Sus scrofa: one gene and its partners. The protein of the gene in region 5 interacts with the protein of the main gene of each other region in a biochemical or structural test. Links are inferred from orthologs where the notes say so. Each region holds a gene or a part of one and is shown on either strand. Other genes may lie near its edges. The genes, in order: FBXO18, RAD51AP1, RAD52, SEM1 and RAD51.

Region 1 (6,148 bases), on a different chromosome or scaffold from region 5:
CACGTACCGCTTGAAGCCGCTGAAGCCCTCTCTGTGCGCCCACCTTCGGATGAACTTGTCCTTGATGACGAGGTTTTCTGGAGGGAACACGCGGACGGCTCAAGGTGACACAGGCGGCACCGCGGCATAAAGGGTCTCCGGGCCGGCCCGGTGGGCGTCCAGACCCGTCACTGACCTGGCCAGGGCGGCCCCCGGAGCTGTGCCCCAGCCCCTCGGCTCCAAACTGCAGGTCAGGAAGGAGCCCTACCCCCGAGTACCCTGCCGGCTTCTCGGGGACTGGAAATAGCGCAGCAGTGAAAAAATAAAGGCGCTACGGGAAAGTTAGAAATGACCGCTTGGGGCCCAGGCAGAAGGTCGGAGTGCGAGGCCGGGGCCAGCAGAGGGACGGGGGAGGCGGCGGAGGGGCCAGCGTGAGACAGACACCTAGACTCCCGAGACTGGGGCGGAGGAGCTGGAGGAGCTCTCGGGTTCCCCCGAAACCGGAGGCCTTCGCGCGTGGCGCTGGGAAAAAGCCCCGCGAGCTCCGCCCTCCTCCCCGCCTCCCGCCCCGTTGCCCTGGTGACGGCGAGGCCACGCCCACCACGCACGCACTCACTTTTCCTGCGTTCTTCCTCCGGCTGAAGGAGGGTCCAGATGTCAACGATTCTGTCCAATCCAAATGATTTGATCCCCTGGAAAAGTTTTTTGGGTGGGATTTCTGGGGTTTGATTGTTTGTCGTTTTTTGTTTTGTTTTCGTGGCCGTTGTTAACCAAACCAAAGCAAAGCAAACGCACAGGTGCGATTTTTGAGACGACGGACTTTCTGGAAATGAATCTCAAATTGCACCCCAAGCGTAACGACCGCGAGCGGGAACCTCCGTCACGCACAAAGGCAGAGGCCACGGCACAGCCTGCAAACCAGGGCCAAGCGAGCGCCCGCTCTGGCTGCCCCCTCACCCGACTCGCTCCTTAGGGCTGGAGGCTGCTTTCCTGTCAAGGGAGGCAATTTAAGGAGCAGCTTCCAGGAGTCTAAACAGACCCAGATACCGAGTGCGGAACACAAACACTCACGTTGCCCCTTTTCTGCTGTTTTATTTATTTTCTTTTTAGGGCTGCAACCAGGGCACATGGAAGTTCCCAGGCCAGGGGACATATCCCTACGCCACAGCCACGCAGGATCTGAGCTGCGTCTGCGACCTAAGCCACAGCTCACCCTAACGCCAGATCCTTAAGCCACTGAGCGAGGCCAGGGATTGAACCTGGATCCTCACAGAGACAAGGTCGGGTCCTTAACCCACTGAGCCACAATGGGAACTGCTGTCACTGTGGAGGAAAGAACTAGGCACTGTGCATGGGTCCAGATTACTGGATGTGTTAAGAGGTCCGCTCCCGGAAGACAGGGCCTGCCTGACCCCCCAGATCAGCCCACTCCACCTGGAAGTGGGGGCAGAGCATTGACTGGGGCCCGGTCCCGAGCCCAAGGCTCCACACTCCCAGGAGCACTTGGGAAGGGACACAAATGCTAATCTCAGAGACCGCAGACGACTGTACCATTTGAACTGTAACGGGAAGTGACCCAGCACGATGACACAGTGGACGTGCGAGAGGGGACCAGCTTCCCTCCCTGGTGGAAGATACTCCAAAAGTACCATTTCCCCACAATAACTAAAAAGACTAAAGTATGCTGCCTCCGTGCTGGAATACTGTAAACTCATTAAAGCAGCAATGTGAGGAAAAACTGCTCACAGGTGGAATAAAAACTACATACTCTTTTATGTACGTGCAATTATGCAAAAACACACATCCATAAGGACAAAGACATAAATAATCAGCAAAAATGAGAACTGAGATTAAGGGTGATTCTTTCCCTTTAATTTCCAAAACTTCTGTAACTCGGTTGGACAATCTTTATAAAATAAAAAAAAGGAGAAGTTCCCACTGTGGCACAGTGGGTTAAGAATCCGACTCCAGCAGCTCAGGTCGCTGCAGAGGTGCAGGTTTGATCCCCGGCCTGGCGCAGTGGGTTAAGGATCTAGTGTCGCTGCCGTGTAAATCACAGCTGCAGCTGGGATTCAATCCCTGGCCCAGGAACTTCCAAATGCTGCAGGTGCGACCATTTAAAAAAGAAAAAGGAGCATCAGAACATCTTTTGAGGAAGTTCCCACTGTGACTCAGTGGTTATCAAACCTGACCAGCATCCATGAGGAGGCAGATTCGATCCCTGGCCTCACTCAGTGGGTTAAGGATCCGGTGTTGCCGTGAGCTGTGGTGTAGGTCACAGACGCCGCTCGGATCCCGAGTTGCTGTGGCTCTGGCCGTAGGCCGGCGGCTACAGCTCTGATTGGACCCCTAGTCTGGGAACCTCCATATGCTGCTGCGAGTGCGGCCCTAAAAAGACAAAAAGACCAAAAAAAAAACAAAAAAACTTTTGATTAGGATTCACTTGCTATACTTGTTGAAGGCTTACACAGAGTAGGCCTTTTTCTCATAGATGAACGGGTAAATGTTTCTCAGGCATAAAACTGCCTCAAAGAGTTAAAAACGTCCTACACGTGTCACTTGACCCTCCTAATGTCCCTGTGAAATAGGCAGTGTCGCTGTCCTAGAGATGGGGGTTGGGTGGGGGCACACACAGAGTTAGTGAAGAGCTGAGGCCAAGCCAGGGGCGACATGGAGCCCCCGGCCACCTCCCAGTGTGTCCTCACCTCGCGTGTCTTACGTGACTGATGTCACACAGCCGGCGGCCTCGAGAGGGCCCTCACCTTTTTTAGGGGCAGCGGAGCCCTTGCTGGGCCTGACGGTACAGGACTCACTTAAGCAGCATGGCCGGGGGCGGGGCTTCAGCCACAGTGCGGATGTGGGGACAATCAAGCCCAAGGGCCTCTGTGCGTGATGATCCTGGGTGCGGGGGCGCTGGCATGGACCGTGTTTCCCTGAGCGAGCAGACGACGGAAACGCACTCTTACCCCGATCAGGTGGATCCGAGCTGGCACCTCCCCTTCTGTCACCCTGACGGCTTCATCAAACACGTTGGCGTTGGTCCGGGACAGCAGGGCCACCTGCCCCTTGGCATCACCTCTGATGCCACCTTTGGGGAGAGAGCACAGGCTCCAGGGCCAATCCAGAGGAAGAGGAACACGAACCCGCAGAACAAACGAGGGTCACTGAAAGCCTTACTCTGGTGGTTTCCTCCGACCAAAGTCTTCTTCCTCACTCTCTTGCAGACGTCCAAGATCGTAGCTCCCACGTAGGCTATTTCCACGCCAAATCGGAAGCTCTGTGCGAGAACAGGAAGCACAGAGTTAACGCCCCCGCCTGGAGCACTGAGGGCCCTGCCTGCTCCCGTCCCGGCCGCGCTGAAGCCCATCGACCACACCGGGCTCACCAGCCTACCAAGGCTGCCTGGAGAGAGTCCCCCAGGAAACCCGCCCCCACAGGCCGGAAGCTGGGCAGGCAAAAAAGGACGGGGTCGAAGGGTTCCGAAGAGCATCTTCTATCTTGAAACCTGAGGGTTGTTTCTTGGCCTCTGGCCCCCAGATCCAGGCCTTGACCAGTCTTCCACCGTGTTCTCTTTCCACTGCCTCCGGCTCCGCTCAGAAACCCCAACCGCACGTCTCCTCGGCCCCGGCTCTTCCTTCCTGTCTCCAACCCCTGTCACATGAATCCTGCCCCCCCCCTTTTCATCTGGCCATGCGCCTGGTACAAAAAAGGGAGAGTGATGCATGGAGGGGTGGGGTGGGCATTTTCAGGACCCTCACAGGCTGGACGGCCTTAGTCCCACGTTCCCTGAGACCAGCAGCAAACCTTCCTTTTAACCACACGTACCCTTCTTTCCCAGTGGACCCTAACGAAGTTACACTGAAGATTAAGGGAGGGTGGGGGGGCTCTCCCTGTCCCTTGAGGCTCCCTCAACACCAATTTAAAACCAGTGCCCTGCATAACCAGCCACAAGAATAATCAGAGTCCCCTGGTGGCTCAGCAGGTTAAGGATCCGGTATTGTCAATGCAGCAGCTCGGGTCACTGCTGTGCTGTGGGTTCAATCCCCAGCCCAGGAACTTCCACATGCAGCGAGTGTAGCCAAAAACACTCCTGAGTGTTTCCTGCCCTCCTCCTGTTGCAGCACATGGCAGAACAATTTCCTACCCTTCAAAAAGCAGCCCTACGCCCTGACTCCGTGACCACTGCAGCTGTGAAGACATCATTCTTGGGAGCTCCAGTTGTGGTGCAGTGGAAATGAATCCCACTAGGAACCATGAGGCTGCGGGTTCGATCCCTGGCCTCGCTCAATGGGTTAAGGATCTGGCAATGCTGTGAGCTGTAGTGTAGGTTGCAGTGGCAGCTCTGATTCCACCCCTAGCCTGGGAACCTCCATATGCCATGGGGGTGAAGCCCTGAAAAGCAAAAAAAAAAAAAAAAAGAAGACATCATTCTTGCCTGAACTCACAGCATGTATTGCCTTTTTCCGTGCATTTTTAACTCAAGGTTAAAGCATCATGTCCTTCAGAGAACATCAATCACTGGGCTAAAGAAAGTGAGACTTTCCGTAAAGCGTTTCTACAGAACTATTCTGAGGGAGCCACAACCCAAACGATAAAGACGCCCGAGTCCCCCCTGATGTAAATGAGTCAACAGCGGGGAAGAGAAGACACAAAATCTCTTTAGCAGAGGAACTGCCGGCCACTGACACAGACACTCCCACTCGTGCCCGAGGGAGGGCCGAGGGCCAGGACTTCCTTCCACAGCACGCGTGTGGAGACTGGCCGGGGGACAGTCACATCCCGATGGAGAGACCTGCCCAGGGGACCAGGGACCAAGACAACTTCAACAGTCATAAATCACGTGGATGGCACAGGTCCCCAGAGCTCATGATGAAAGCGGCTAATCTTCCTCCAAGGTCTTCCTCCCAAAACATCAGTGTACCCACCAAACCCCGACAAGGCAAAAGCCAGTCAAAAACAAGGCAAGCCCGAGAAACCACAGGGGGCGGCCGACAGGAGGCCAAAAAACACAACCCTGGACGGAAGGGGGTGGCCTGAATGAGGTCCTGGGACCGAAAAAGGACGTCAAATAAAAACTATGAAAATCAGAATCAATTGGGGACTTTGGATTATGAAAAGGTCTCAGTACCAATTCATCAACGGTGGCAAATGTACCCCAGCAATGAGACGTGAGTCACAAAGCAAACTGGATGTAGGGGCATCACAACTTTCTGTGCTATCCTCTCAATTTTCGTATAAATCCGCAACTAACCAACATCTACTACAAAAAAAAAAGGACTGTGGGCTGGTGCTGCCCTAAATCACTACAGCAAACAGGAGGAGCTCCAGGGGTAAAGCCACACAGTGGGGGACAGGACCTCCCGCGACTCGACACTCCACAGCTCTTGGGAGGTGACGAGGCCAGCAGGCAAGCTGGCGCCTTTCACATCCTCAAACCACAAGTGACTTTTGCTTTTTAGGGCCGCACCTGGGGCATATGGAGGCTCCCAGGCTAGGGGTCTAATTGGAGCTGCAGCTGCCAGCCTACACCACAGCCACAGCAACACGGGATCCGAGGTGCACCTACAACCTACACCACAGCTCACGGCAACGCCAGATCCTTAACCCACTGAGCAAAGCCAGGGAGCGAACCCGCATCCTTGTGGATACTGGACGGGTTTGTTACCACTGAGCCACGACGGGAACTCCCAAAAGTGAGTTTCTTAAGAGTATGGTGCTCACACCTTTTGGCCTCAAGGCTTTTGATACTTTAAAAAACTAGTGAGGCCATGAAGGAGCTTTTACTTATGAATTGTGTCTAAAATTACCATTTTAGCAACTTCAGTTCATTTAAATATGACAACAATAAACTCATTATATGATTGCACAAAGAATACTTTTTTTGGCTGCAGCCACAGCATGTGGAAAATCCCGGGCCAGGGATCGAACCCATGCCACAAAAGCGACCCGAGCCACAACAGTGACAACAAGGATCCAGTGTTGCTGTAGCTGTGGTGTAGCCCGCAGATGTGGCTTGGATCTGGTGTCGCTGTGGCTGTGGTATAGGCCGCAGACGTGGCTCGGATCTGGTGCTGCTGAGGCTGTGGTGTAGGCCGGCAGCTGTAGCTCCGATTCGACCCCTAGCCTGGGAACGTCCATATGCCGCCCCTAAAAAGCAAAACAAAACAAA
Region 2 (6,148 bases), on a different chromosome or scaffold from region 5:
TGCAAGTTCCTGCCGCTGGAACACTGCTTGATGGCGCCATCTACCCAGAGAATGAACACAGAATGGGAGTAGGTTTGAGTTTTCTGGTTTTTTGCTTGTTTTTGATGGAGGGAGGTAGGGAGGTAGGAAAAAAAATCACTTTTAGTTAATGCTTGCTTTGAGATACCTAAGGAGCATCTTATTTACCTGAAGGCCTATTATACCTAAGGGCATTATCCATAGGCATGTGAATTTTCACTGCATACCCGTCTTTTTTTTTTTTGTCTTTTTGTCTTTTCTAGGGCTGCTCCTGCGGCATTTGGAGGTTACCAGGCTAGGGGTCTAATTGGAGCTGTAGCCGCCGGCCTACGCCACAGCCACAGCAACTTGAGATCTGAGCCTCGTCTGCAACCAACACCACAGCTCACGGCAATGCCGGATCCTTAACCCACTGAGCAATGCCAGGGATCGAACACGCAACCTCATGGTTCCTAGTCGGATTTGTTAACCACTGCGCCACGACTGGAACTCCTGTATACCCGTCTTAATGTTAGTAACTACACCCCCTGATCAGCACCATCCGTCCAACAGGCTTTTCTGCAATGATGGGAAGACTCTGTATTTCGTGCTGTCCAATGTGGAGGCCACCTGCCACATATAGTTAGTGAGCACCTGAAACGTGGCTAGTAAAACCAAGGAACTGGCTTTTAAATTTTATTTTTAATTAACTTAAATGTGATAAAGTTACTTGTGGCTGGTGGCCACCATAATGGACACCACAGCTCTTGAAATTTCCTCTATCAAGGAAAAAATTATAACATGTACCAGATTGAAGACACTCAAAGGTTACTCAATATGTTATTACTGGGACTAGAAATATAATCCATCTTTCCGAATTCTTAATTTCATTATTTGGCTGTTAAATTTTACTTCTAATATCACATGGTAAACTTTCTTGTGAAGCAACTTGCTCCAGGATAAAGAAATATTTAAGTGGTAAATGGCAACTTGGAAAGCGAATTTATTTTTAGCTTTTAGAGTGTCTTGGTGAGAAGGCATAAACAAAAATCTAAAGAAAACATAAAATATATTCATGTTAGGTTTTTTCATATCGTCAATGACCTTCTCCTATCAGTCTATATAGGCGGCTCCTTAAAGATATTTATCTCCTAACTCCCCAGAACGTGTGCACATGTTATCTTATACAGCAAAGGGACTTAAGTGGGATTACATTAAGAGACTCGAGGAGTTCCCGTCGTGGCTCAGTGGTTGACATATCCGACTAGGAACCATGAGGTTGTAGGTTCGATCCCTGGCCTTGCTCAGTGGATTGGGGATCCGGTGTTGCAGTGAGCTGTGGTGTAGGGTGCAGACGAGGCTCGGATCCTGAGTTGCTGTGGCTGTGGCGTAGGCTGACGGCTGCAGCTCCGATTCGACCCCTAGCCTGGGAACCTCCATATGCCGTGGGAGCGGCCCAAGAAATGGCAAAAAGACAAAGAAAAAAGGCGGGGGGGAGACTCGAGATGGGGAAGTAACCTGAATTGTGCGAAGGGCCCAGTGTACTCACACGGGTCCTTGTAAGTGAAAGTGAGAAGCAGAGAACAAGAGTGATGTGATGGCTTTGAAGAGGGAAGTGGGCCACCAGTCAAGGCAAGCAGGCAGCCTCAAGGCTAGAAAGGGGATTCTCCCCTCAAGCCTCCACAAAGGAACACAGTTCTGCCAATGCTTGATTTTAGCCCAGTGAGAGGCATTTTGAATCTGTGACCTACAGAACTGTGAAATAATAAATTTGTGTTGATTTAAGCCACTGAGTTTGTAATAACTTTTTACAGCAGCAATGGGAACTCATACACAGCTTTATCTCTAAAAACCCGGCATTTAAAATCTTATTTCTGGAAACGATGAATTTGCCAATTAAAAAAATCAATTAAAACCTCACTAATCAGGAGTTCCCTTCGTGGCTCAGTGGTCAATGAACGCTAGGATCCTTGAGGACTCAGGTTCGATCCCTGGCCTCGCTCAGTGGGTTAAGGATCCAGCATTGCCGTGAGCTGTGGTGTAGGTCACAGACACAGCTTGAATCCCGAGTTGCCGTGGTTGTGGCATAGGTCGGCAGCTGTCCAATTTGACCCTTAACCTGGGAACCTCCATGTGCCGCATGTGCAGCCCCAAAAGAAGCAAAAAACAAAATAAAACCTCACTAATTCAGAATATAGTGGCAGGAGGAGCATGACTCAATCAATACTTCTTATTTCTTAGTAAGTACTCAGCACCAGTACTCAGCCCTGGGCTATTTCAGGTGAGAACAATGCCCACAATTAATAAATGGGGTCTGAATAATGGAAATTTTAGTTTCAAATAGCACATATATTTAACAATGAAGACATAAATGTCTGTCAGTATGTAAAGTAAATCAGGGTAAAGGAAGTTATATTTCACAGTAATCTGTTATCTATTACGAACTCAAAAATATCCAAACTTCTTTCACACAAGTATTCCATATTTAAGTCATCACAAGTTCCAAAGTTTTATTTTAAAACTGGTTTCTAAATGAATTCATTTTGAAGAAACCAAAAAGCCTCAAACACGTGATTGAAAGGTTCTCAACTCAAAGACTGAGAGACCCGTGACAGGGAAGGTGGAGGCTTGTACCCACCGGCTCTGACCCCACCTGCTCTCTTCCACGGATTTTCATGGGAACGAACACCGGCAAGATGTTAAGAGAACACAGGCCACGGAGAGAAACCCACTAAGTAAACCCAACACACTTGCTCTATTCAGGGCTGCGCTTACCCACAGCAGCACGTCTAGATTTAGGTTTCTTCTCTTTCTTTTCAACTGGAGATTTCACCTTCACTTTTTGCTTTTTGATTTCTTTAACTTTGCTTTTTCTCACAGTGAGGGCTTCATCATCCTCACTCTCACAAAAATCAGAATCATCCTCAGAATCGTCACCTGAAATAGAAGATTACAAACCTCATCTCGGTTCTGAAACGTGAAGCTTCTAGTGCCTCCACTTTGGCTTCTGCCCCAGACTCCGGTGCCCTCTGTGCTGTGCCATCTCCAGGGGCGAAACCACACACAGTGGCCTAGTTTTGGGTCTCAGCCTCTCTACTTACATGTCGTGTGGTGTCAGAAAAGTCACTGACTTCACAGGGCTTCAATTTCTCATGTATAAAATGGGGAGAACCCTAAGACCTACATCACAGGGTTGGTGTGCAGACTGAGCGAGTTAATACAGGCAAAGGATAACATGTGCATGCAGCGAGCAGAAGAGAATTGCTTGCTCTCACTGTTGTCATTAACCTCCCATCAGTAATCATAAGGATTCCGAATTTATCAGTTTAACTCAGTAACTTCTGAGAAAAATAGCTGGATAATATTAGCTGCTCTTACAAAACGTTAACTTTGATGGTAATTTCACCGTATACCTTCCCTTAATCGCACAAACTTCAGCACTGCAGAACAGAGATCCACTGGGAACTGAGAAGAGACAAACGGCACCCCAGCAGTCTTAACTGACGATGATTTCATCTGGGACACACCCCGGCTCTCCCACACACTCTTTTCTGGGCTGCAGGAGGTGATATTAGCCGGTGATAAAATGTATTACGTAGCTACAGCTGCTTTAGAAGAGAACGTGCAGAACAACCAATAGTCAAGCAATAATTCTTCTATTTTTTGGTGAGTAGGGGGATAAGAAGGCCATGTCTTATAAATAATAAACTCTGACAATTAAGTGTAAATAAGGATTAGCCCTATATTCATAACAATTTTTTTTTCCACTTTTTTATATTACGAATGCAGTTCATGGAGCTCCCTGGAGGCCTAGTGGTTACAGATGCAGTGTTGTCACTTCTGTGGCGCACGTTTGCGCCCAGGCCTGGGAACTTGCACTTGCTGTAAGTATGGCCAAAAAATAAACAAACAAAAAACCAAACGCAGTTCATGCTTACTGTAGGAAATGTAGACTGTGCTACAAAATATTAAGAAGGAGGCCCACTCTCTAACCTCCTCACTTTGAGATAACCACTGTCATGCTCACCACCCACTGACAGTACCTACCCAGCTATCTATGGAATAACATAGTCTATGTAAAAAACAAAAAAAATATATATGAAAAATTTTAAACACTCACAACAGGTGACAATAAAACTAACACCCAGATTCAACAATCAGCAATATTTTGCTGCATCTCATCTGTCTTCTCTTTTCCCCTTTCTTCTCATGTCTATAAAAATAAACCCAAGGCACTGTGGCATTACACTCCTACATACTTCACAAAGCATCTCTGAAAAACACGGACCTTCAAAAAACACAACAATGTCATCATCCTATCTAGCAATATTAACAAATGTTTCTGGGTATCATCTTCTACCCGGTCCATATTAGTCACTTTTAGTACAGAGCAATATCCACCCCTCTTGTCCCCCAGCTCTGAGTCGATGGGAGAGAGTCATTCTTGGCTTAGGGTGGATGAAAATGAGCTGTCTCACTCCTTGAAGTATATGGAGTATAAAAAGAATGTTTGTCCTTGAACTGAAGGTAAAGCAGGCTTGGCTGGAGCATCTGAAGGAGGTTTACATATCTGCAAGACAGCGTAGACTTTTGCATTCTTGGGGTGAAGGACAGAGGAGGAGTCAGAAATTTGGAGAAGCAAGGAAAAAATCCTGTGCCTAAAGCTTAGTTTGTGAATCCACAGCCCTGGCTGGACAGCAGTTCTCACCTCCTCACTGATGAGCAGCTCCCGGAAGAGCTGAGATACTGCTCCTCAGGGCTGGAGCACACGACATTTGCAGGAAGCACAACTGTACAAGCAGTTTGGCAGAAACCATAATAATGAAGCCGGGAAAAACCAAACCAACTCTCAAAGAGCTGGAGAAACAACAGTCATTTTAGTCCACAAGTGATACACAAGCAGCTAAGGGCTATGTCTCAGAATCTATGAATTTTTAAGTATCTACTACTACATAAACCATAAATTGACACCTTAGGTATTTGTTTATTGTCTGTGTCCCCTTGCCGGAGTTTGAGCTCCATAAGGGCAGGAACTTTGTCCAATGCTATAATAATATCATTAAGTGTCTAAAATACAGTGCCCATAACAGGTACCCAACTATTTCTTGAATGGAGATGAACAAACAGGTTATTGTTGGTCAACTGCATGTTAAAAAGATAGCATCTGATGGCATAAATTTATGGATTTATTCATTTTAATTTTAGTTTGTATACCATGATGCTGTCAAGGTCACTATGCTTCCCATTTGCCCTAATCTCTGAATGAATCTGAAAACTATCACAAAAAAATACAGGTTTCACATCATTCCGACCTCAAAATGATTCGTGAATTTCCATTACTTATGGAAAAAAATTCTACACCTCTTAGGATGGGTCAGGGACCCTGCACAAACCTGCGCCAGGGGGCCTCTGCAGCCTCTACCACATTCTCCCTTCCCTGCAAGCCTCACTGGATACCTTGTATGTGTGCATGTGTTTCCACATCTTTTTTTTTTTTTTCTTCCAGTTTTATTGAGATATAACTGACATGCAGAACTATGTAAGTTTAAGGTGTTCAGCATAACGATGTGACTTACATGCATCACGAAATGATGACCACAATGGGTTTAGTGAACATTGACCATTTCATACAGGTACAAAATCAAAGAAATAGAAAATAAAATGTTCCTTGTGATGAGAACTCTAGGATTTGCTCTCTTACTTACTTTCATGTATAACATAGCACAGTGTTAATTTACTCATCATGTATGTTACACCCCAGTACTTGTTTATCTCATAACTGTAAGCCTGGTCCTCCTGACTGCCTTCATCCAGTTCCTCCTCCAACATCTGCTTCTGGTAACCACAAGTCTGATCTCTTTTTCTGTGAGTTTGTTTGTAAAGTAGAATTGACCTGAAACACCATGTTAGTTCCTGGTCCACAACATAGTGATTCGCTAATTCTATACGTTTCAAAATGACCACCACAGTTAAGTCAGTTACAGGATGTCACTTTACAAGGGTGTTATGCAATTACTGACTGTATTCCCCACACTGCACATTTCATGTCATGAACTCATTTATTTTGCAGTTAGAGGTTTGTCCATCTCAACTCCCTCAACTATTTCTTTCCTCTCTGGCAACCATGTTTGTTCTCTGTATTTATGACTGT
Region 3 (6,148 bases), on a different chromosome or scaffold from region 5:
GAAAATTCGAAATATTGTATTTTCCAACAAATCCTCTCACAACTCAGGTGGCATCCGTTTCTCAGCTTCCACCAGAATTAAAGGTGGGCCTGGTGGGGGTGTTAGCTGACAGACAGCTGAATATAATTTCTGATGACAGCACTGGGATTTCTGAAACATAACTCAGAAAGCATTCAAAGAAATGAATGACACTGTAACAAAACTCTTTCCAGTCCCAGTTTATTTATGTGACTAAGTTTTTCACAACTATTTACAAAAATAAATCAGAATTATTTTGCTGAATGTTTAGTCTAGGAAAAATATTAACTATGGATATATAAACTAACTAATAGAAAAAAAATAAAAACAAAACAGGAGTTCCCTTCGTGGTGCAGCGGAAACGAATCCGACTAGCAACCATGAGGTTGCGGGTTCAATCCCTGGCCTCTATCGGTGGGTTAAAGATCTGGTGTTGCCATGAGCTGTGGTGTAGGTCGCAGACATGGCTCGGATCTGGCGTTGCTGTGGCTGTGGTGCAGGCCAGCAGCTGTAGCTCCAATTCCACCCCTACCCTGGGCTGCAAGCGCAGCCCCAAAAAAGCAGAAAAAGAAATGAAAAGCATTTTGCATAATATAAAAAAATAGGATGTGGAGTTCCTGCTGTGGCATAGTGGGTTAGGAATCCAACTGCACAAGTTCCCATCGTGGCTCAGAGGAAACGAATCTGACTAGCATCCATTAGGACGCAGGTTCGACCCCTGGTCTTGCTCAGCGGGTTAAGGATCCAGAGTTGCCATGAGCTGTGGTGTAGGTCGCAGACGAGGCTCAGATCCCATGTTACTGTTGCTGTGGCTGTGGCAAACCTCCGTATGCCTCAGGTGCAGCCCTAAAAAAGCAAAAAAAAAAGATGTAATAGGAGTCCCCGCTGTGGCATAACACATTAAGGACCTGGTGTTACTGTGGCTGTGGCATAGGTCACAGATGCAGCTCAGATTCAATCCCTGGGCCAGGAACTTCCATATGCTAAGGGTGTGGCAAAAAAAAAAAAAAAAAAAGGTAGGATTTACTTTAGAATGTAAAATTTTATAACACGCCAAAAAATATACCCTTGCAATTGTTTATATTTATGGTGAAAACTTTTAGCTAACTTACAAATGCAAGAGAACAGAGCTTTACAGAATTCTCTGAAGGGCACATGAGTAAGCCTGTCTGAATGCCGCCACCCCAGCTCAGGCCCAGCTCTTGGGCTGCTGCTCCACAGCCTAGAGGTCTCAGCACCCGCCCTGTGCCTGTAAGCGAAGTCTATTCCATCACCCTCACCTTCAACTGGACTCTCACAAATGCACAGACTCCCACGTAGAACTTGCCATTGTTAAGGTCAACAAAATCTAGGAGTGGGAAAGAGAACCAGTTGAAGAGGACATTGATCCTGTGCCTTACCTGGATCCCTCCAGCTGGCAATGGGGCACACCTACCCTAGGTCTTCACCCACAAAACATGCCTACCAGAATCAGCCAAGTCAGGGAGAGAGAGCCAGGAAGCAGACTCACCCACATTCTGCTGTGTGATAGAGTGGGCCCAGCCATTGTAGCCAAACATCTCATTGGCCAGATTAATTACCCTGTGACCCTCAATGTAACACACCTGGTAAAAATTTAAAGAGAAAAGAGCTGATTAACATCCCTTGCCACACTTAAACATGGACCAAAATTTACTTAATTTATTCCTTACCAACTTTTTTTGGCAAAACTGCCCTTAAACATTCTAGGGAATTCTCAGAGAAATTCCAGTGAACTTATTTCAAAGAACTTCCAGAAGGACCAGTCAGAACTTGGCCCACTTCAGATGACAACAAAGGTTGGAACCCATCCCCTCCTAAAGTCACTAAGAAACATGCAGCAACAGTGAAGAGAAACCTCCTGAATCCCAGAGGACCAGAGAGGGAGCTGGTCATCGCTGAAAGAGTCAGTATTGTGGGTACCCACTTTGCAGGGACATGAACTCTCCTACCTTCTGGCCTCCTCCAGCCATGCGGCTACTTATATATTCTGGGCCCAGCCTCTGCCTCAGAGCATTCTGGATGGCCTGGTACTCTTCTGCTGTGTACTGGTACTGCAATCCAGAAAGGGGAGGTTAAACTGACATCTCCACCACTCCTTAACACGTCTCCAGACCCCTTTACTCTTTTTTTTTTTTTTTTTTTTTTTTTTTTGTCTTTTTGCCTTTTCTGGGGCCGCTCCCAAGGCATGTGGAGGTTCCCAGGCTAGGGATCCAATTGGAACTGTTGCTGCCAGCCCATGCCAGAGTCACAGCAACGCCAGATCCGAGTCACCTCTGCAACCTACACCACAGCTCACAGCAATGCCAGATCCTTAATCCACTGGGCAAGGCCAGGGATTGAACCCGCACCCTCATGGTTCCTAGTCGGATTCGTTAACCACCCAGCCACAACGGGAACTCCCAGACCCCTTTACTCTTAAAAAGTATTGAGGACCCAAAGAGCTTCTGTTTATATTGGTTATATCTGTCAATACTAGGAATTAAAACTGAGAAACTTTGAAGGCACACATTCCAATAACCACCAGAGCAATGACATAAGCACACACCATGCGGTCTCTGGAAAGCTCCATCCTCACTCATGAAAGAATAATAGTGAAAAAGACACAGAGTATTTTAGTATTATTACTAAAATAACTTTGATTTCACAGACTCTGAAAGGTCTTGTGGACCCGCCCAGGGGTCACTGGACCACATTTTGAGAACCACTGCCTTAGATGCTACTACCATGTTACCATCCTTATAAAACTTACCTGAGTCAGAATTGGGAAACTAATTCTCAGAGTCTATATATGATATTTATGCAGGCAAGGGAGCAGGGGAGGAGAAAACAGGACAAGAAAGTCTTGCTTCCATTTGTCCTTTTCTCTAATTCAACAATTTCCCATCCTACACATAAAGAAATATGCTACTACTTGTTTGGATTTTCATCCCCTCGGTCATTTTCCCCTTGCCCTATTTAAATTGAATAAATGCTCACAAATAGATCTCTGGCAAGACAAAGATAAAATCCGGGTTACAAAGCAAGAATCTCCCTTATATGCACAGAATATCTCCATAAAGAATACAATACCAGAAAGTTTGGATGTATCCAAAAGAAGAGATCTGGGTGAAATGTGGACAAGGGTGATAGGAAACATGATACTTTCCACATAGAGTTTGTTTCATTTTAAATTTTTCAGCATATGAAAATACAATCTATCCAAAAAAAATAAATAAAATTTAAATTTAAATGTAATCCTCAGGGATATTAGTCTTTTGATGCTAAAGTTCCAAAATGCCCTCAGAGTTCATCAAAGACTCCCAAATAATGCACCTTAATGATAAAAAAAAAAAAAAAGAGTTCCCACTGTGGATCAGCAGAAACAAATCTGACTAGCATCCATGAGGACGCAGGTTTGATCCCTGGCCTCACTCAGTGGGTTAAGGATCCGGTGTTGCCGTGAGCTGTGGTATAGGTCACAGACTCGGCCTGGATCTGACATTGCTGTGGCTGTGGCACATCGACCTCTAGCCTGGGAATCTCCATGTGACTCAGATGCAGCCCTAAACAAAAAAAAAAAATTATATTAAAAAAATGGAAAAAAAAACAGTAACAGAAATTCCCATCGTGACACAGAGGAAACTAATCTAACTAGGAACCATGAGATTGTGGGTTTGATCCCTGGACTCGATCAGTGGGTCAAGGATCCGGCGTTGCCATGAGCTGTGGTGTAGATTGCAGACCCGGCTTGGATCCCGAGTTGCTGTGGCTGTGGCTGTGCTGTAGGCTGGCAGCTACAGCTCTGATTCAATCCCTAGCCTGGGAACCTCCATGTGTTTCAAGTGCGGCCCTAAAAAGCAAAAACAAAAACAAAAACAATTAACAGCTTACAGTATGGGATGGTACTCTACAAACTGCTTCCATGTACCTTTTCACTTAACCCATTCCTTCCAGGTATGAAAAAAACAGCAGTTACCTGACCAAAGCATAATACAGAGTTGCCACCAGTAGGATGCCTGTCGCGGCCTCCAAGAACTGTTTCTTCAGTCCCAGACATGTTAATTCTGGTTGACCTCTAAATAAACAGAAGATTTTAAAAGATCTTAAAGAATGCTAATGGTAAAAGGCAAGAGCCTCTACTAAAAATCAGATAAAGTCACTTTTTTTGCATCCTTCTAAACACTGAACCAGTCTGGACCAAGTTCCTCAGTGCTAGCTGTCATCTCACACACCACTGAAAATCCTTTCCAGTCTGCTTATATCTTTCTCCTCAAATTTTTGCGAGTGTGGTGGTGCTATTAAAGGTGATTCTACAATAAGAATACGTTATACTTTAAATGAATTAAAAAGCCAAAATTACAAGAGCACACTAGGGGAGAGCAAACTACCAGCTTATGAGGTACCTACTGTGTAAGCAACCCGATGCAGACTTCTGCGGGGTCCAAGAGGAAACAGAAGCCACAGAGGCTGAACTGCTTTCCTGGGGTGCACACACCAGCTGACAGGAGGAGCCTCACAGGACGCAGTGAAGACCCTGCATTCAGAAAGGACACAGCATTAAACCTCTAACAGTCCCTGCAGCATCTGCACTGTCTGGGGCCACATTCTCAGGCCCCCACCCAGACCCACTGAATGGGAAGCTAGAGGTGGGGTCATGAATTAGTGCTTGACCAAGCCCACCCAGTGATTCTGACACAAATTCAGGATCAAAAGCCCAGGCACTAGACTGAAACCATATCAACACGTAACCCCCAGAAAACAGAACCCCCAAGAAAAGGCACTGGCAGCTGACCACCCCATACTTGCCTCAAATCACAGATTCTAAGTTGGGCCTCAGCAAACTTGCATGTTATAAATTTTCAGACTATTTGCTAACAAGAGAACAACAATTCATCAATGTCAAGTACTATGATTCTCCACATGGCGTTACAGCACAATGTTGATTTCTGACCCTATAATCCATGAGATCTTGACCAAGAGAAACATCACATAATCTCTCTAAAAGATGTTTTGTCATCTAGAAAATGGAGATCACAATGGCACCTACATTTCCTAGGGATTCTGTAAAGATCAAATGTGAAACTGCATCAAAACTGCATTAGAAGAGTGCCTGGCACATACAAAGTACTAAATAAATGTTACTGTTAAGTTCTTGTTAACTTGCTTAAGTACATTACGATGAAAATACAGAAAACTATTTAAACGATAAAATATTACATTTCAGCAAAGAATGGTAAATTTATTCATAATCTTGCACTAAAAAGTAGGATAGTGGCTGGAGTTCCCGTCATGGCTCAGTGGTTAATGAATCCGACTAGGAACCATGAGGTTGGGGGTTCAATCCCTGGCCTTGCTCAGTGGGCTAAGGATCCGGCGTTGCCGTGAACTGTGGGGTAGGTTGCAGACGCGGCTTGGATTCTGAGTTGCTGTGGCTCTGGTGTGGGCCAGTGGCTACAGCTCCAATTAGACCCCTAGCCTGGGAACTCCATGTGCCGAGGGAGCCGCCCTAGAAAAGGCAAAAAGACAAAAAAAAAGAAAAAGTAGGATAGTGGCCTATACTAGTCAATAATCAGTGTCTAATTGTCAAATCAAGAAATAGTGGAATGAGGATATTATTTAGAATGTAGCTGTTAATGTCAGAAAAGACAGTTAAAAGCATGAACCATCTCTGAGGAGCAATGCTGGTGCTAGTACGGAGAACAGTGAGGTGGCACTCCTTTTTTTTCTTTTTAGGGCCACACCTGGGGCATATGGAGGTTCCCAGGCTAGGGGTTGAATTGGAGCTGCAGCTGCCAGCCTACACCACAGCCACAGCAACACCAGATCCAAACCACCCTCTATGACCTACACCACAGCTCACAGACCCTTAACCCACTGAGTGAGGCCAGGGATCGAACCTGCGTCCTCATGGATACCAGTCGGGTGTGTTACTGCTGATACACAATGGGAACTCTCCCCTGCCAGCCCAGGATTCTCCTTTTTAAAAATAAAACTCTTAGTGCTATTTCCCTTTCAAATATGTGCACATATTACTTTAATAAAAATAAAAAATGTAAATATCTGTTCCATAAGGCAGAGGTCAGCAAACTTTTCCCATAAAGGGCCAGCAAGTAAATATGTTAGGTTTTGC
Region 4 (4,887 bases), on a different chromosome or scaffold from region 5:
TTACTTTGTGGCACTATCTTGGGCAACCTACTCATTTTCTGGAAATGGGGGATGTGCCCAGGGTAACTATTCTCTATACCACAGTAGAGAGGAATCATTCAGAAGGGCTGCCAGTTCTCCTCATTTTAAGTTTTGCATGGTATGACTCTCCAGCTACCAAAAGCTATAATCATCCAGAACAACTATCACCTTTCCTCTGAACTCAGAGGTTGCCAGCAGCTGAAACTGTTCATTTCACCCAATAACCAAGCATATGCATGGCAGAAGTAAGCTGTGAAGGCAGGCAGAAGCACTGATGATGGGGTCATGGCTTCCTCTAGACACTGGAGAACTTCATGTGCCCTGTGCCCTCCTTCAGGGAGTATTCACTGCATTTTAATATAATATTACTCTCTACAGTTATTTTATTTATAGGCTAGTGGAAAAGTGAGGCATTAGAAAAAAGAATGCTCATGGAATTTGAGTAAGGGAAAGAGAGCTAATAAACATTTCTTTTCTAGGGCAATATGAAAACACCCACATTAAGGATAAGTAGCTTATTCGAGAAAACACAAAGTCAAAACAAAATATGAATTAATGATTTTTAGTAAATCAGGAACTAACATTCTACTTTCACCCCCATCCCATGCTCTCTAATTATGGTGATAATTCAATGGTTTCTTTCATGTCCAGAAGTCTGCCCTTCAAATACCACTCGATATTTTCATTTTATCTTCCTTTCTTATTCTCATTCTCTCCTTTCTTATTCTCTCTTTCCCTCTCATCTTCTCTTCCCCATCCATTTTCATTTCTCAAATTCTTTTGCTCCCCCTCTTTTACCTTCTTTTTGCTTTAGGGTGTATCCTAGCAACAGCTATTTTAATTAAAAAAAAAAAAAAAGATGGGAAGGGCCATTGGTGTTGCCAAGGTTACCAGTATTTCCTGCTGTCACTTGAGAAAGTTAACTTGTGCATTTATCATAATGAAACAGATGCTTCAGCATCTTTCTTTCTTTCTTTCTTATAAATCTTATTGGAGTATAGTTAACTTACAAAGTTGTGTTAGTTTCAGGTGTACAACAAAGTAAATCTATTTTACACATGCATATATCTATTCCTTTTCAGATTCTTTTCCCATATAGGTTATTACATAGTATTGAGTAAATTACCCTGTGCTATACAGTAGACCTTTGTTATCTATCTATTTTATATATAGTAGTGTGCACATGTAAATCCCAACCCCTTAATCTATCCCTTCAACCCCACATTTTCCCTTTGGTAACCATAAATTTGGTTTCAAAATCTTTGAGTCTCTTTCTGTTTTATAAGTTCTTTTCTATCATTTATTATTAGATTCCACATATTAGTGATCTCATATGCTATTTACCTTTTTCTGTCTGACTTCTTTGACTTAGTATGATAACTTCTAGGTCCATCTCTGTTGCCACAAATGGTATTATTTCATTCTTTTTGAGTAATATTCCATTTTATATATGTACCGATCTTCTTTATCCAGTCCTCTATTCATGGACACTTAGGTTGCTTCCATGTCTTGGCTATTGTAAACAGGGCTGCAATGAATGTTAGGGTGTATATATCTTTTCAACTCACGATTGTCTCTGGATAGATGCCCAGGAATGGGATTGCTGGATCATATCAATATTGTTCTCCACAGTGATTACAACCACTTACATTCCCACCAACAGCATAGGAGAGTTCCTTTTTCTCCTTACCCTCGCCAGCATTTATTATTGATAAACATTTTGACGATGGCCATTCTGGCTGGTGTGAGGTGATACTTCGTTATAGTTTTGATTTGAATTTCTCTAATAACTAGTAGAGACTAAAAAATATGCTACTAAACAAGCAATGATTCACTGAAGAAATCAAAGAGGAAATAAAAAATACCTACAGACAAATGACAACAAAGACATAATGATCCAAAACCTATAGGACAAATGACAACAAAGACATAATGATCCAAAACCTATAGGACACAGCAAAAGCAGTTCTCAGAGGGAAGTTTATAGCAATACAATCTCACTTCAGGAAACAAGAAAAATCCCAAATAAATAACATGACCTTACAAATAAGGAACTAGAGAAAGAAAAACAAATGAAACCCAGAGTTAGTAGAAGGAAGGAAATCATAAAAGCTCAGAGCAGAAATAAATCAGATAAGTATGAAGAAAACAAAAGATCAATAAAACAAAAGCTGGTTCTTTGAAGAGATAAACAAAACTGATAAACCTTTAGCCAGACTCATCAAGAAAAAAAGGGAGAGGGCTCAAATCAACAAAATTCGAAATTAAAAAGGAGAAATTACAACTGACCACACATAAATACAAAGGGTCATAAGAGACTACTACGAGCAACTACATGCCAATAAAATGGACAACCTAGAAGAAATGGACAAATTCTTAGAAAGGTACAACCTTCCAAAGCTGAACCAGAAGAAATAGAAAATATGAATAGACCAATCACAGGTTCTGAAATTGAAACCAAGATTTTAAAACTTCCAAAAAACAAAAGTCCAGGACCAAATGGCTTCATAGGTAAATTCTATCAAACATTTAGAGAAGAGTTAACACCTATCCTTCTGAAACTTTGCAGAGGAAGGAATACTCCCAAGCTCATTCTATGAGGCCACCATCACCCCAATACCAAAACCAGACCAAAAAAACAACAAAAAAGAAAATTAAAAACCAGTATCCCAACTTTTCCACTGGCCTGAGAGGTTTGGGGAACTGAGGGTCGCGATGTCAGAGAAAAAACAGCCGGTAGACTTGGGTCTGCTGGAGGAGGACGACGAGTTCGAGGAGTTTCCTGCAGAAGACTGGGCTGGTTTAGATGAAGATGAAGATGCACATGTCTGGGAGGATAATTGGGATGATGACAATGTAGAGGATGACTTCTCCAATCAGTTAGGAGCTGAATTAGAGAAACATGGTTATAAGATGGAGACCTCATAGCATCCAGAAGAAATGTTGAAGCAACCTAAATTTGAACTGTTTACTAAATTCTGGAACAGAGAACCCAGGGGGGACACTTAAAAAAATGTTTATTTCATTACCTGCTTGGACTTATTTTTGTTTTTGTAACACAAAAAATAAATGTTTGATATAATAAAAAAAAACCAGTATCATTGATGAATATAGACATAAAAATCTTCAACAAAATATTAGTAACATTATTTATATTATAAATATAATATTTGTATTATATTAGCTCTCATAAAAGCTTTTTACTTCCTTATTTCATTTCCACAATGGTTCTGTAAGGATTTACTTCCCCATTTTATAGATGGGGAACTAAAAATCAGGGATTTTAATGACTAAAGTGGCAGAAGACTTTATAATGGTTTTTAATTCCTAACTCCCTGCACAGCATCTTCCTTCCACCAGATGGTGATGAAATAGTGCCCATGCATGTTTTTAACCCCTACTTTCTTCCTAACAGCTGCCCCAGAAACATTTTCTGAATAAATCATTTGCACATTAATGTTCCTTTGGGGTCAATTCCGATTTCCCTTTCACCCTTCCCTTCCTTCAATCCATTCTCCATGGCTGGAGTGATATTTTTAAAATCTTACTTAGATCACATCACTCCCTACTTAAAACCATCAATGGATCCCCACTATGCTCAGGTAATGCCCAAGTTCTCTACCATCATGTAGGTATTTCATGCTTCAGCTGGTATCTTCAGCCTCAACTCTGACTACTTCTTTCCTAATATAATGCAGCAATAGCATACTATATGTAATTCCCAATACAGACCAGGATGTATCTTACCTCTTTGGTTTGGTTCAATTCATGCTGCTCCCAAAATGTGGCATGCTCTCTTCTCCAGATGTCACTAATCAATGCCTCTGGTTCAAGCAAGTGTCATCTCTCCAGGAAGGCTGAGAGTTCCTGGAAGATAGGGATTATTCGTTCATTAATTTTATACCTTTGATTTTAGCCTGATACAGAATAGAAAGCTCATTGAATGAATGGCCTTTCTTTTTCTTTCTTTCTTTTCTTTTTTTCTCTTTTTCTTTTTCTTTTCTTTTTTGTCTTTTTAGGGCTGTACCTGCAGCATATGGAGATTCCCAGGCTAGGAGTCCACAGTCAGAGCTACAGCTGCTGGCCTAAATAACAGCCACAGCAATGCCAGGTCTGAGCCATGTCGGCTAACTACACCACAGTTCACGGCAGTGCCAGATCCTTAACCCGCTGAGTAAGGCCAGGGCTCAAACTTGTGTCCTCATGGATGCTTCAGATTCATTTCCACTGAGCCATGATGGGAATTCCTGAATGGCCCTTTAAGGAGTGAAAATAGCTACTACTATGCTAAAGCAACCTTGACAAACCCTCAATTAATATTGGAGATATCTTTGAAAAGTGAACCAATAATGTTGGTAATGGCCATTTATTTGTGCCAACACTGTACCAGAGAGTTACTACTTAATGTATGATATTATTTATCTTCACAACAAAATAAGGCATTATTATTCTTTTTTTTAAATATGAGAAAAATTAAGATGAGAAATGTCGCTTAGGACATAGTGCATAAGTGACAGATTTGGAATTTGAGTCCTCCTATGCCAATCTTCATTCCAAAGACTGTGCTCTCTCCTTTACAGAAAAGCATCTGTGTCATAAGTAAAGTAGAATAACACCTGTAACCTCAAATGGGCAAAGCCCTCAACCATTTTCATTCCCAGCCTGATGGTCAACATGAAAAAGAGGAACACTGGTTTTATATATTGGTTCATATATACTGGTTTCATCTACCCATGTTTATATTAAATTCATATGGCTTCAGCATCATAATCAATACGTTACATCTGCATCTATTTCCAGTCACTTTAGAAGGCATTTTGTTTGGAGGCATTTCATCTGAAGAGATGGTAGAACTAGAGACAGATA
Region 5 (6,148 bases):
ATCTTTGAAAAAATTTCTACTGTGGGTAAAATGCTATCAAACAGCACTGCATATTACAGAGAAATTGTTCATGAAAGGATATAAGTCAATCGATATAGCAAACTGCATTGTTGTCTTATTTTAAGATATAGCCATAGCCACTCCAACCTTCAGAAACCACCACCCTGATCAGTTAGCAGCCATCAACATTGGAGTGAGACCCTCACCAGGAAAAAGACCATGACTTGCTGAAGGCTAAATGATGCTTAACATTTTTAAAAATTTTTATTCTGGGAGTTCCCATCGTGGCACAGTGGTTAATGAATCCGACTAGGAACCATGAGGTTGAGGGTTCGGTCCCTGCCCTTGCTCAGCGGGTTAACGATCCGGCGTTGCCGTGAGCTGTGGTGTAGGTTGCAGACGTGGCTCAGATCCCGTGTTGCTGTGGCTCTGGCGTAGGCTGGTGGCTCCAGCTCCGATTCGACCCCTAGCCTGGGAACCTCCATATGCTACAGGAGCGGCCCAACAAATAGCAAAAAAAGACAAAAAAAAAAAAAATTTATTCTTATGGCTATAACCATAGGAAATGGAAGTTCCCAGGCTGCTGGCAATGTCCGATCCTTTAACCCACTGCACTGGGTCATGGATCAAACCTTCACCTATGCAGCAACCCATGCCACTACAGTTGGATGCCTAACCCACTAAGCCACAGTGGGAACTCTATGTACACTACTTTTTGTTTTTGCTTTTTAATCTTTCGTCTTTTTAGGGCTGCACCCATGGCATATGAAGGTTCCCCAGCTAGGTGTTGAATCAGAGCTATAGCTGCTGGCCTACACTATAGCCAGAGCAACGCAGGATCTGAGCCAAATTTGTGACCGATACCACAGCTCACGGCAATGCCAGATTCTTAACCCACTAAACAAGGCCAGGGATCCAACCCGGGTTCTCATGGATACCAGTTGGGTTCGTTAACCAGAAACACAACAGGAATTCCTGAACACTGTTTTTTAAAACATAATGCTATTGCATACTTAACAGACTACAACATAGTATAAAAATAACCTTTATATGCACTGGGAAACCAAAAAACTCTGACTCACTTTATTGCAATATTCAATTTATTGTGGTGATCTGGAACCAAACCCACAATTATCTCTAAGCATGCCTGTAGGAGTTCTCTTGTGGCACAGCAGGTTAACTAGCCGTCACTGTTACTTCAACAGCCAGGGTTGCTGCTATGGCAAGAGTTTGGTCTCTGGCCCAGGAGCTTCTATATGCCATAGATTTGGGGAGGGGGGAAAGCCCGTAAATACCAAAGGCTAAGTGCATAAAATTAAATGTAATCATGAGGTATTATGAGTAACAAAGGAGTATATGAAACAAGAAAAATTAATAAAAGCTGTAAGACATTAGAGGGAAATGATAAAGGATCACAGTATAGCAGGATGAAAATAACTGGATTCTAGTCTTAGTTCTATCACTAAGATAGAAGTATTGTGCCTAAGTTTCCTCATCTGTAAGAAAGAGATAATACCGGCCTTACTTATTTTTTTCAGCATCGGTATGAAGCCCAAGTGAGAATACCATGTTTACGAAATGGATGGGATTTCAAAGTTAAAGTGCTAAATAATATAAAAGATTATTAATAACTCATTTACATTAAGCCAGTAAAATCACTTTTATGTCATTTATTAAGGTTAATAAAACTAAACATATGACTTGTAATCATATATACATATATGATTTTTTTTTTTTTGGACCGCGCTCACGGCATATGTAAATTCCCAGGCTAGGGATCGAATGGGAGCTACAGCTGCTGGCCTATGCCACAGCTACAGCAACGTGGGATCTGAGCCTTGTCTGCAACCTACACTGCAGCTGACAGCAATGCCAGATCCCCATCCCACTGAGCGAAGCAAAGGATTGAATCCACATCCTCATGGTTACTAGTGGGATTGGTTTCCGCTATGCCACAATGGGAACTCCCATATTTTATTTTTATTATTAAAGAATCTCGCTTATAACTAGCTGACTAACAGATTATACATGCTGAAAGGCTAGTCATGTTAACTAGACTAGAAACAATAGTAATTTTTTTTTTTTGTCTTTTTGCCATTTCTTGGGCCGCTCCTGCAGCATATGGAGGTTCCCAGGCTAGGGGTCGAATCGGAGCTGGAGCCACCAGCCTACGCCAGAGCCACAGCAACGCGGAATCCGAGCCACGTCTGCAACCTACACCACAGCTCACGGCAACGCCGGATCGTTAACCCACTGAGCAAGGGCAGGGACCGAACCCTCAACCTCATGGTTCCTAGTCGGATTCATTAACCACTGAGCCACAACGGTAACTCCTAGAAACAACAGTAATATTTTAATGTATTTATCCCCAGTGTGTGTGGTATACACTGTATTTGTGTAATTGTATTTACACAATTTTTAAAAACAAAAACATATATGTGCACAAACATATTTCATTAACCTGCTTTCTTCTGTCTTTTTTTTTTTTTTTTTTTTTTGTTGTTGTTGTTGTTGTTGTTGTTGTTGCTATCTCTTGGGCCGCTCCTGTGGCATATGGAGGTTCCCAGGCTAGGGGTTGAATCGGAGCTGTAGCCACCGGCCTATGCCAGAGCCACAGCAACGCAGGATCCAAGCCGCGTCTGCAAACTACACCACAGCTCACGGCAACGCCGGATCGTTAACCCACTGAGCAAGGGCAGGGACCGAACCTGCAACCTCATGGTTCCTAGTCGGATTCGCCAACCACTGCGCCACGACGGGAACTCCCATTAACCTGCTTTCTTCTATCAGGAACATTTTTCCTATGTCAGTGAATATTCTTAAAAAATTTTTTTGTGGCTGCATACTAACGAGTATATTTCTAAGGCATGAGATCATATTATCCAGAAACACACATACCACTTACTGCTGGCAGGAGTGCAAACTGGTAGTCAATGTGGCAGTATTTATGCCATACTCAATGATTCCGCAATTCCTTAGAAAATATCTCAATTTATGTGAAGAGGCACATACAAAGACAATTAACACGGTCACCTCTGTAAAGACGAAGACGATGACAGAAGGAGGGAGAGAAAGAGGACAACTGCTGCCTTTCACTGTACACCCTTTTGCACTATTTCCACTACTGCCTCACTTGGTCACATAAGCCGTACTCACCAGAATTTTATCAGCTTTGGCTTCACTAATCCCCTTAATATTTATTAGCTCCTTCTTTGGTGCATAGGCAACAGCCTCCACGGTGTGGAATCCAGCTTCTTCCAATTTTTTGACATCATTGGCATTTATGCCACATTGCTGCAAGTGAACAAAACCATGGATAAATTTAAGCTTCGGTATGCTTATCCATCTGATATGGATATTGTCCCTACATACTTGATAGAGCTGTTTTAGGTGGGGTTTAAAATTTGTTTGTCTTTTTAGAGCTGGTTTTTTTTTGGTTGTTTTTCTTTTTGTCTTTTTAGGGCCACACCTATGGCATATGGAGGGTTCCAGATTAGGGGTAGAATCAGAGCTATAGCCACTGGCCTATACCACAGTCACAGCAACGCCAGATGCGAGCTGCATCTGTGACCTACACCACAGCTCACAGCAACGCTGGATCCTTAACCCACCAAGCAAGGCCAGGGATCGAACCTGCGTACTCATGGATACTAGTCAGATTCGCCTCCGCTGTGCCACAATGGGAACTCCAACAGAGCTGTTTTAGTAACTGTGAAATTATATGCAAAAGCTGTGAAAAGTATGTCCTACATATGAGGTATTATCAACCTTTTCATCATCAAAACCAGTAAACTAGCACAATGTATATTAGAATGGACTCCTACCATGAATTGGATTAAACCTGTAACTTTCGACCTTTTACAACTGGGACTCTAAATGAGCTTTGAGATCCTGAGCCCTAAAAGGCCATTTCAAGCCAGTGTTCCTCAATGTTTTCTACATAAAACAATATGTTTTACACTAAGCTGGGATAAACAGATAAGACTGCCCCAGAGCTAAAGGGAGTACTATCTTAGCATGTCAGTACCTTCTTGGGAGCACAAAGACTGGAAAGCTCTGCTTTAACAACTGATATTAATAATGGGGAAAACTACTCTTGGTCAGGGATTTACAGACCACTTCTCAAAAACAAACCATCCAGGGGTTCGTGTTGTGGCTCAGTGGTTAGTGAATCCGACTAGGAACCATAAGGTTGTGGGTTCGATCCCTGGCCTCGCTTAGTGGGTTAAGGATCTGGCATTGCTGTGAGCTGTGGTGTAGGTCGCAGACGAGGCTTGGATCCTCTGTTGCTGTGGCTGTGGTGTAGGCTGGCAGCTAAAGCTCCAATTAGACCCCTGGCCTGGGAACCTCCATATGCCATGGGTGCAGCCCTAGAAAAGAACGGGAAAAAAAAAAAAAAAAAAAAAAAAAAACCACATTCAAAGGCATCTCTTTCTTCCTATACACAAAGTCAGGGAGTTCCCATCATGGCTCAGGGATAGGGATAGCGAACCCGACTAGTATCCATGAGGATGCATGTACAATCCCTGGCCTCACTCAGTGGGTTAAGGATTCAGCATTGCTGTGAGCTGAGGTGCAGGCCAACGGCTACAGCTCTGGTTCGACCCCTGCCTGGGAACTTCCATATGCCATGGATGTGGCCTTAAAAAAAAAAAAAAAAAAAAAAAGGAGTTCCCGTCGTGGCACAGTGGTTAACGAATCTGACTAGGAACCATGAGGTTGCGGGTTCGGTCCCTACCCTTGCTCAGAGGGTTAAGGATCCAGCATTGCCGTGAGCTGTGGTGTAGGTTGCAGACGCAGCTCGGATCCTGCGTTGCTGTGGCTCTGGCGTAGGCCGGGGGCTACAGCTCCGATTTGACCCCTAGTCTGGGAACCTCCATATGCTGTGGAAGCGGCCCAAAGAAATAGCAAAAAGACAAAAAAAAAAAAAAATAAAATAAAATAATTAAAAAAAAAAAAGACAAAGTCAGTTTTGGTTTTATTAGCCACCAAAGCCATGATTTATGGGAGAGAATGAGTAAGGGGGGATGTGTGTATATTAGGGGGTCAGGGAAGGTTTGAGAGAGAAGAGAGAATAGTCGCTGCCCATAGAAACCAGGTCTGTTGTTAATATTTAAGCAATATTCAATACACAGGTATTGTGCTCACGAAACCAAGTTATGACTCTGAACTCTCCAACATTTATCAGCAACTTGTTTAAGTAACCTATAGAGTCTTCAAGTTTAGCTGGGGACGGGAGGGACATGCATAAAGAGATAAAAGAATAAAGGCTTTCTCAGCATTCTCTCCTACTTTTTTCAGCCCAAGTCAGTTGCACTCACCATGGGGGTCTCTGTACAATGCAATGGGCAGAAACAGTGAAAGGCCCAGCTCTGGTGCTTGATGTTCTTCTGAAGAGTCTTGAATTGAAGCTTGGCTCTTACACTTTAACACCAACCCCTTCTCCGGGCCTATGACAGCTGTCTTTCTAGTTACTTCAGCACAGATCCAGGTCAATGGAGAGACACTGTTCCTCTCCCCTAATGCATCGCTGGCCTAGGTCATTGTAATTTCCTGGACAGTAATTTCATACTTAAGACAAAGAGCAGAGACTCTACCATGGGATCCTAGGGCTCCTTAGTTTCTAACAATCCAGCTCTAAGAAAGAACAATGATAAAGTAGGAGAATTCTTGACAAAAGAAAAGATCTAGCCAGACATGTTCAGCAATTGACTTAAGCCTTTCCACAGAACACTTGAGAATCCTCCTGAAAATTCTAATTTGAGTCTTGACCTTAGGTAGTAAACCAGTGGTGTATGTAAAGGTTGTGACTTTTCCAAATGGTAGAACAGTCTCATCCAGCATTGTAATTCCAAAATAAACAACAAAGCACATACCTCTAATCGTGAAATAGGCTGTGGGCCAAAGCTCTCCTCTTCCACCGAAGTATCTGCATTTGATTCAAGCTGCATCTGCACAGCCATTACTCAGTGTTCAATACTGAAAAATATAGATAGCCATGAGGACAAATTCTAGAGAAAGCAGAGGTGCTAACATAGTTTTATAATAAATGCCTTGAAGAATTGCTTGCTAGGCTTTTGGTTTAATCACTGCCATGAGTTCATGGCAGTAAAAACAAATCTGTCACAGGTTTTCCCCTCCATCTAGA

What was found.
Region 1: the proteins of RAD51 (region 5) and FBXO18 form a complex in vitro, tested with the Homo sapiens proteins (2 studies listed by BioGRID, with this or other methods). The link is inferred for Sus scrofa from reciprocal best matches to the Homo sapiens genes RAD51 and FBH1.
Region 2: the proteins of RAD51 (region 5) and RAD51AP1 form a complex in vitro, tested with the Homo sapiens proteins (6 studies listed by BioGRID and IntAct). The link is inferred for Sus scrofa from reciprocal best matches to the Homo sapiens genes RAD51 and RAD51AP1.
Region 3: the proteins of RAD51 (region 5) and RAD52 form a complex in vitro, tested with the Homo sapiens proteins (6 studies listed by BioGRID). The link is inferred for Sus scrofa from reciprocal best matches to the Homo sapiens genes RAD51 and RAD52.
Region 4: the proteins of RAD51 (region 5) and SEM1 form a complex in vitro, tested with the Homo sapiens proteins (2 studies listed by BioGRID). The link is inferred for Sus scrofa from reciprocal best matches to the Homo sapiens genes RAD51 and SEM1.

What each region holds. Positions count from the first base shown.
Region 1 is NC_010452.4:65,072,565-65,078,712, forward strand, and holds part of FBXO18 (F-box DNA helicase 1), read right to left. Parts: intron 3,257-6,148; coding exon 3,157-3,256; intron 3,068-3,156; coding exon 2,946-3,067; intron 672-2,945; coding exon 596-671; intron 78-595; coding exon 1-77. UniProt on the Homo sapiens protein: 3'-5' DNA helicase and substrate-recognition component of the SCF(FBH1) E3 ubiquitin ligase complex that plays a key role in response to stalled/damaged replication forks.
Region 2 is NC_010447.5:65,878,539-65,884,686, forward strand, and holds part of RAD51AP1 (RAD51-associated protein 1), read right to left. Parts: intron 2,935-6,148; coding exon 2,773-2,934; intron 1-2,772. UniProt on the Homo sapiens protein: Structure-specific DNA-binding protein involved in DNA repair by promoting RAD51-mediated homologous recombination.
Region 3 is NC_010447.5:68,156,413-68,162,560, forward strand, and holds part of RAD52 (DNA repair protein RAD52 homolog), read right to left. Parts: intron 4,553-6,148; coding exon of another isoform or gene 4,426-4,552; intron 4,094-4,425; coding exon of another isoform or gene 4,076-4,093; coding exon 3,995-4,075; intron 2,091-3,994; coding exon 1,989-2,090; intron 1,623-1,988; coding exon 1,529-1,622; intron 1,367-1,528; coding exon 1,299-1,366; intron 1-1,298. UniProt on the Homo sapiens protein: Involved in double-stranded break repair. Plays a central role in genetic recombination and DNA repair by promoting the annealing of complementary single-stranded DNA and by stimulation of the RAD51 recombinase.
Region 4 is NC_010455.5:144,626,265-144,631,151, forward strand, and holds SEM1 (26S proteasome complex subunit SEM1), read left to right. Parts: upstream 1-2,684; 5' UTR 2,685-2,736; coding exon 2,737-2,949; 3' UTR 2,950-3,113; downstream 3,114-4,887. UniProt on the Homo sapiens protein: Component of the 26S proteasome, a multiprotein complex involved in the ATP-dependent degradation of ubiquitinated proteins.
Region 5 is NC_010443.5:130,622,260-130,628,407, forward strand, and holds part of RAD51 (DNA repair protein RAD51 homolog 1), read right to left. Parts: intron 5,980-6,148; 5' UTR 5,964-5,979; coding exon 5,877-5,963; intron 3,295-5,876; coding exon 3,157-3,294; intron 1-3,156.